Linked DNA regions of Danio rerio. Each later gene encodes a partner of the first gene's protein in a complex. Links are inferred from orthologs where the notes say so. Each region holds a gene or a part of one and is shown on either strand. Other genes may lie near its edges. The genes, in order: npr3 and nppc.

Region 1 (4,366 bases):
GGTGGATTCTGTGAATATAAATGTGAACTTCATTGTTAGATTTCAGAAAAGCCTTGAAACAGCTGTCAGATTTTGCCCTGAGTGTTTGGGTGGTGGCCTGAAAAATGCATCCCATCACTGAGATTCCACTTTCCCACCTCTGCATGCACAGATCAAAGGAAGTGCGTGTCATCATACGAAGGGCATTCCATACTTGTACCTTTACAGCTGCTGCTGGGGATCACAACATGTTGAGGACCTCTAGCTGCTGTGAACTAGTTGAAAAGGGAAAGAATGATATAAAAAGGCCTCGAGAGCTGTAACCCTGACATTGTTGGTGTCAAAACAGCCTCAAGACAGCATTAACCTCCTACCCCGTTTCAGTCATTCCATACTGACATTTTGAGAATTGGTGGAACATTCCTTTAATGACCAGCGTTCAGGCAATATGCTTTAGCTTAAGAAACCTAAGATGTTCGTTTCAGCGCACGGGACTGTCTTAGAAAAGCGATACAGGGGACTAGGCCTTGTGCAGGGCCCCTGTATTGAGGCATATCTGTATATTTTCTAAAATCGACAACATCCTTGCTAGGAATGTGAGAAATGCACTGTTTATGAAACAGGATCAGTAAGGAGGTGCACAGTCAGACTTACTGTGAAATGCCACAGATTTGGGGCAGACGGATATGATGTTTGAGAGCAGGCTAAAACAGCAGACAGTTCATAGTTTTGACAGCAGGCATATCTTTTAGCGCCACAATGTGTCCAACAGCAATAGTAGCAGTGAGCTCCGGGGAGGGTGTATCCTCTCTGGTTATTAAGAATCAGCCAGGCAGACAGCGCATGACTTTACTCGCCATGAGACAAGCTGTTAAAAAGTGCTGGAGGATGTCTAGAGGAGTGCTAAAGCCTACAATTGCTCCCCAAAATTCCAACAGCTCTTGCTCAGTGTTGACCGTCTGTCAAAATTCTGATCATTTTTTCCACAAGCTTTTTTTCTTTTCAACTGACCTCTTGCCTGTCTGTATTGACGGGAACCCCAAGGAGATCACAGAGGGATTAAAACACCACTTATATAGCCACTTCTGACATCTTTCTATATTTTCTAAATCTAACCTTCCCTAACATGTGTTGGAGTTCCTTTTCATGAATTATCATGTAATGTAAAAAAAAACACTTAGAGAAACACATAATTTCCAGTTTAATAACAAAAGTGGCCTAATAACATTAGGAAATGTGTTGACCCGGGGCAATACTTTGCAAAATCCACCCTCTTGACCTGCAAATACTCGAGTTGAGTCACAGCATACTGCAGAAAACAAGCTCCTGGTAAAAAAAATATCTGACTACACTGATTTTTCAGAATGGTTTTCAAGCTAATATTCTCTACAGGTCAGGTAGTTACCCTTAATAGTGTTTGACGAGTAGCCAGGAATGTAAAATGTCAAAGAAAAGGAAAAATACTACTCTGCTTTGAATATCTTAGAGGTTCTATGACAGATTTGATCCCAGGACCCACACCCACTCCCATGTTTCTAATACATCATTCATTTGCAATGGAAAGGAGATATTGATTTATTCCTATCAATGTGGATTACTACCACTGGTGTAGTTTAGTAGTTAGGGTCTAGGCTGGTAAATGAAATGTAAAATGCTCCACAAGGTGTCATCTATTCCACTTGTGAAGATAAACACCTACTAGAAAGAAGATTATCTGCCAGATTGTTTTTTTAACAAATACCAAAATAAACTTTTTTTTTATTTTTTATGGCAAGCCATTTCATTTGATTTATTTGAACTAATATTCAGACTATATGGGATAGAAACAAATCTGAATAGTCAACACTTTTAAAACTAAGAGGTTCCAGCAACCGCTGTATGAAGCTGTTTGATTGTATGAAGTGGTTGATATCAAACAGATCTTGCATCTCCAAATAATTTATTGTACAAAACATGCAATATAATTATTATGTACAACTAAGTAACCTATTTAATAGTCTACATACAGTAAGGTTACCAGTGTTAAATGCGAATATCTATCAAAAAAGTAACTGAACAAAAAGGTTCGTAAGAAATAAATGTTAATGCGGCTTGCCATGACACGGGAACTAATGACGGACTTTACCTTCGCTCCCGTAGACGGAGGTGATGATCCCGTCGGGGTCTACTCTCTCCTCGTTGGAGTTCAACACGGCAAAATCTGTTGAGATGTGGTACTCAGAGAGCACCGTAAAAACTCCCTCCATCGTAAAGTAACAGTTTCTCTCATCTTTATCATCGTCGTAAATCAAATACGCGGTTCTCCAGCCGAAATGTCCGAATATCGCCTGAAAGGTCTCAGCCATCTTCAGGTATGTTGGTGCGATTCGTGTCAGATGAGAGTACTCGGGGGTTTTGCTGTTGAAGCCGGTGGCCAGAGCACCTGCCGAGATCACCGGGATGTTCCAGTGCGATGCCACCCTCGTGACCGACGAAGCCGCGTACTCGCACACCGGACCGAGGACCAGGTCGGGACGCTCGTCTTTCTGCCGGTCCACGAGCGCGTAGAGAGCGTCCATCCCGCACGCGGAGTTCTCAAAGCGCACATTGAATCTCAGTCCCGCATACGCGTCTGCTTCTCTGAGGGCTTTTTTCGCGTACTCAATAGCCGGAAAAACTCTCGTGTACGAGAACAGGTATGTGTTGTTGCGAGGCAACATGACCATCACTTCGATGTTGTCATTCAGTGCACTTGTCCTGCCAGGCACCATGAGCACTGCCCAAATGGACAGACAGAGTGGCATGAAACATGACATCTTTAACACCAATGAACGAAGTAACTGACAGTTTGTCTTTTTCTGTCAAAGCTGTTGAAAGTTTCTCTCTCTCCCTCTCTCTCTTTTGCCTTCTCTCCAAAGTTGATTGCTATATAAATTAAGACGTATCCTTAATTGAACTTAGTGTGGTACAATCCCACTCTTTCAGTTTATGAGTGAGTTGTGTCGTGTGTGTCTCTCTCCTGCAAGTGTGTCCAGAGCCCTTCTCTCTCTCTCTTTCTCTTCCCCTGTTTGGAGTCTTCTCTGGGTCTCTGTCTAACTCTCCGCTTGCCTGTGTAATTACTCTTGTTAGGATGTGTGAAGTGTGCGGCTCGGCTGGTCACCACACATGCTGCAGTCTAGGAGGAATTTTCAAGCATCCTTTCATTATTATTCCTGCGTCATTACTGCGCTTCCCGCCCCCTCCTTAAAGCGACAGTGCTGCAAACCATGACAGTCAGCAACTTCAGTTTGGATCAAGCGGTCAAGGTACAGTCCTCACATCACGCTTTCAGCTAATTAGTGATGCTCATATAATATTACGTGATTTTGTAATTATTAAACTATGAAACACATTTAAAACAAAAACGTCCTGATGCAGAGTTGTGCAATATGACATTTCTGTTAATTATTAATTATGCGATTGCATACTATTCAATGCAACAAACATTAACCCAACAATAAAAGGAAAGCATCTGTTTAATTAGCAATAAAAGCTGCAAAATACAAAGTTTAAATTTTAAAATGAGCAACAAAAGAGCAAACTAGAAACAGAGAAAAACTAGAAACTTCACAAAATTGGAGTTATTGACAAGGCTCTTGAAGCCTAAAAGAAAGTTTACTGCAAGATGAGTCTGATATCAAGGGGGAATATGTAAACTAAAGGCCACAGATGTGTATTAGTGGGCAAGTATGACTAAGGCCATATACGTCATACATATTTTCAAAGACATCCAGCAAAGAAGTGTGAAACCCATGCTTCATTTTCACGTTAGAAATCTGGCCATAGTATTTTGCACCAGATGCAATTCATCAAACGCCAACTGTGGACATATGCAGCAAGATATTACTGAATCACAGTTTAATTACATCAGAATTACATCAGAAACATCACACTTCACAGTAACAAAAGCAATCATACATACTTTAGATGATCTAAAATCATACGTATCTGTATTGTGGACTAAATGAGTGAACAAGTCAACATTTTTGACCCTCCCCTCCCCCTGTTTGTTTGTTTGTTGTTGTTTTGGTGGTTGATATAGAAGGAGAATCTTTTTATTAACTTTATTTATTTAGTTATTAACCCTTTAGATTAAGGAACGCATGTTTATGACTTGTTAGCATTCATATTATTAGCTTGCGATATATTAGTTCTTATAAATTCAATTCATCTTTATTTCTATAGCGCTTATTACAATGTAGATTGTGCCAGATAAGCTTAACATAGATGAAGTTAGTAAACTAAATCTGCTTCAGTTAAAGCACAAAATAACATCTTGTTCTGAATAACCTTACAAAATTACAACTACCTTACTTTCTATAAATCAGCAATCAAATTAGGGCAATGCAGTGGCGTGGTAGGTAGTGCT
Region 2 (3,774 bases), on another chromosome or scaffold:
ACTGTCCTGAAAAATCTTTTCCCCTGGATTTTATGTCCGACGGCGCCCTCTTGTGTCCAGTAGGAAGAAAACAGATAGCATTCACCATGCAGATAAACAGATAGATGGATGGACAGACAGACAGACAGACAAATTAGATAGATAGATAGATAGATAGATAGATAGATAGATAGATAGATAGATAGATAGATAGATAGATAGATAGATAGATAGATAGATAGATAGATAGATAGATAGATAGATAGATAGATAGATAGATAGATAGATAGACATAGATATATAGATAGTTAGATAGACAGACAGACAGACAGACAGACACAGACAGACAGACAGACAGATAGATAGATAGATAGATAGATAGATAGATAGATAGATAGATAGATAGATAGATAGACATAGATATATAGATAGATAGATAGATAGATAGATAGATAGACAGACAGACAGACAGACAGACAGATAGATAGATAGATAGATAGATAGATAGATAGATAGATAGATAGATAGTCTGCTCTTTAGTCTGGTGAATTGTACAGATTGGAGAATTCTGCTTCGTTTGTTGCGTTTGTGCATTTTTTAATGATACTTAAAACATTTACAACTATTAGAGACAAAATAGTTACAAACAGAATTGACCTGCATTTTGCATTCATTTCAATGTTACATAAATAAAACTGATATTTATAAATATCTCTTTTATAAACATATAAATAGTTTTTAAAACATAAATACATTTATGCCAGAATGAAATACATGAATGTACAGCAGCAGCAGCAGCAGCAGCAGCAATATACAGCTTTCCTCATCCTCGTCATGGTCCGCCGTGAGTGTTTCTTTATACATATGTTTGTTTGTTTGTTTGAATGATTTTTGTCCGTCTTATCGTCCACTAGTGGTTCTTCGTACCATTAGTCTCAGTTTTTTGCCTTTTTTCCCTCATAGAGAAGCAGCTCAGTTTGTCATATCCGCACTCGATGACGTCTGTGATGCTCTGAAAGAAAGAGCAGATTCACACATATTAGGTCACTTCCACACGTACACGAGTTCTCCCTGCTTTCATTGTTAATAAATCTCCGTCCACATGAAAACACAAACACACTGTGATGCACGTTAATCAAAGACTCTAGAATACACAAGACGTGTCACCTGTATAGTTTTGAATGGGGAAAAGTGTAACGGTCAATATGAAGAATGAAGTCCCGCCTTCTAGTACAGGAGCCAATCAGCGGTCACTATAGACTGTCTCTGGGGGAGGGGCTCGAACAAGAGTAATTTTCTGCAGATTTTGTGTGATTCAAACTTTTAGTAATAAAACTAAAGAGACAGATGTTGTTTAATTTTATTCTTGATTCCTCATATGACATTTATTCATAAGCTTCGTAATCTAGAATTTAATAGTTCCCCATTTAAACTGAATACGTTAGTAAAATGAGTAAAATGCAAGTCGTCAATGCAAACGTGACAACGACACAGAATACACAATGCGTTTGTCATGAACGTACTGAATTTGAATCAATCACGTATGGTGGGAACCTGGCAGTATTTTTAGCCAATTTAGTTTTGGAGGTTTCATACACTGTAAAAAAAATGTAACCCCCCCCCCCCCCAAAAAAAATTGACATTTCTGGTAAATTTCTGTAATATAATATCAATTATTTTACAGTAAATTTTTTTAATCTAATATTCGTTATTTTACTGTAAATTTCTATAATGTAATATTCATTATTTTCTGGTAAATTTCTGTAATTTAATGTATGTTATTTTACAGTAAATTTCTGTAATGTAATGTAATATCCATTTTTTATGGTAAATTTCTGTAATTTAATATCCTTTATTTTACGGTATATTTCTTCAATGTAATATTCGTTATTTTACGGTAAATTTCTGTAATTTAATGTCTGTTATTTGATGGTAAATTTCTGTAATTTAATGTCCGTTATTTTACTGTAAGTTATTTTAATTAAATGTCTGTTATTTTACGGTATATTTCTTTAATGTAATACCCGTTATTTTACGGTAAATTTCTGTAATTTAATGTCTGTTATTTTATGGTAAATTTCTGTAATTTAATGTCTGTTATTTTACTGTAAATTATTTTAATTAATTGTCTGTTATTTCACTGTAAATTTTTGTAATGTAATATCCATTTTTTTTTACAGTAAATTTTTGCAATTTAATGCCATTATTTAAAAAACTAATTTCCGGCACCCCAGCTGCCAAAAATAAACCGTAATATTACAGATTTTTTTTTACAGTGTGGTTGAATTTTGGGCTGATCTTCGCTGCTCTTCATTTCAACAGTAAGAGGAGAATGTGAAGCTTTAATTAGAACAGGTTTGCCTTAAATATTGCAATATACACAACATTATAAAAGTCACTAAAGAGAAGAACTACATCTGTCAAGAGATGATTAAACTAAGAGAAAGCTGTCTGAAAGAGACGTCTGGGTGCTAATAAACCATAAAACCACAGCTGCCCAATAAATAACTGTGCACTTTCCACTAAACTGTTGGTCTGGAGCTCCACAGGGTCACTACACATGGCCGGCTGCTATAGTTGTGCCAATTGCAAACAATGGTTTTAATCGTGCCAGAAGCTAAAATCTTGGTCTGTAAACAATGTGAAACATGTATTGGTCTCTGAATAGTCCACCTTCACAGCAGATCATCCTGAGATGTTCAAATGAGATTACATGAATGTAAAGGTCATGATCTGCGGTGTGATTTCGGTGGTCATGTGACCGTGTGTTGATCTGCTCACCATGAGAGGTTGTTAATGGAGTGGTAGTGGGACGGCTGGCAGCCCATCCCGCTCATGGTCCCTATCCTGTCCATCTTGTGTCCGAAGCAGCCGCTCCGGGCTGTTGCTCCGCCTTTCTTAGATCCGGCTCTGTGTCTGCGGGTCCCTTGCTGTTCGTTCATGATCCGCGCCCAGGGGCCCCGTGCCCGAGTGTCCGTCCGGATGTCCCGCAGCAGACGCACCCTGTTCTCCAGCCTCCGCTGACTGTCCTCAGCCTCCAGGAACTCAGACAGCTCCTCTCCCAGCAGCACCCTGAGGGACTGAGACAAACACACACACAGAGCGTCAGCACGCGCACACTCACCAGACACACAGACACTTCATAATGACTCTGGATTCACTCTATACACTCTGACACATGTCTTAACCCAAAGTTGGGTTGTTTTTTTAACTAAATTTAACAATTAAAACAATTTGGTTAGGTTTATCCATATTCGACCCAACACTGGATTAATTTTTTTAATCTTAACACTTTTAACCCTACAGTTGGGTTTGCCCACAGCTGACCCAATGTCGGGGGTATTTTGTCAATAAAATTTAATGAACACTTTTTAACCCAACAGTTGATTTTGTCCATATTTGACCCAATTTTAGGTTAACTTATTTTTAAATATTTTTATTTTATTTAAATCCATTTTAAATGGTTGGGTTTGTCCACATTTGACCCAACATGAGGTTTTCAATTACATTTAAATTACACCATTTAACCCAATTGTTTGGATTGTCCATATTTGACCCAATGTTAGGTTCATTTTTTTATTAATTTTAAATAACTATTTTAACCTCATGGTTTGTCCATATTCGACCCAATGTATTCGACCCATATTCGACCCAAACCCAAAGGTTTTTTTCAACACAATTTTAACAACACTTTTAGATACCAATGATTGGGTTATTATTATTTTTATTTAATTTAAACAACACTTTTAAATACCAACAGTTGGGTCTTTCCATATTTGAGCCAAAACTGGGTTA

The links.
Region 2: the proteins of npr3 (region 1) and nppc are in contact, whole or in part, in a crystal structure (PDB 1JDP), measured with the Homo sapiens proteins. The link is inferred for Danio rerio from reciprocal best matches to the Homo sapiens genes NPR3 and NPPC. Residues at the interface, in NP_001191304.1 of Homo sapiens: Asn110, Tyr138, Ala141, Pro142, Arg145, Ala161, Gly163, Phe164, His166, Glu170, Tyr171, Tyr204, Lys208, Leu209, Arg211, Tyr214, Phe215, Leu217, Glu218, His221, Glu222, Gln225, Ile233; in NP_077720.1 of Homo sapiens: Gly109, Cys110, Phe111, Gly112, Leu113, Lys114, Leu115, Asp116, Arg117, Ile118, Gly119, Ser120, Met121, Ser122, Gly123, Leu124, Gly125, Cys126.

Annotation. Positions count from the first base shown.
Region 1 is NC_133180.1:42,212,583-42,216,948, forward strand, and holds the start of npr3 (atrial natriuretic peptide receptor 3 precursor), read right to left. Parts: upstream 3,105-4,366; 5' UTR 2,775-3,104; coding exon 2,105-2,774; intron 1-2,104. UniProt on the Homo sapiens protein: Receptor for the natriuretic peptide hormones, binding with similar affinities atrial natriuretic peptide NPPA/ANP, brain natriuretic peptide NPPB/BNP, and C-type natriuretic peptide NPPC/CNP.
Region 2 is NC_133197.1:40,808,672-40,812,445, forward strand, and holds the end of nppc (C-type natriuretic peptide precursor), read right to left. Parts: intron 3,060-3,774; coding exon 2,761-3,059; intron 992-2,760; coding exon 991-991; 3' UTR 552-990; downstream 1-551.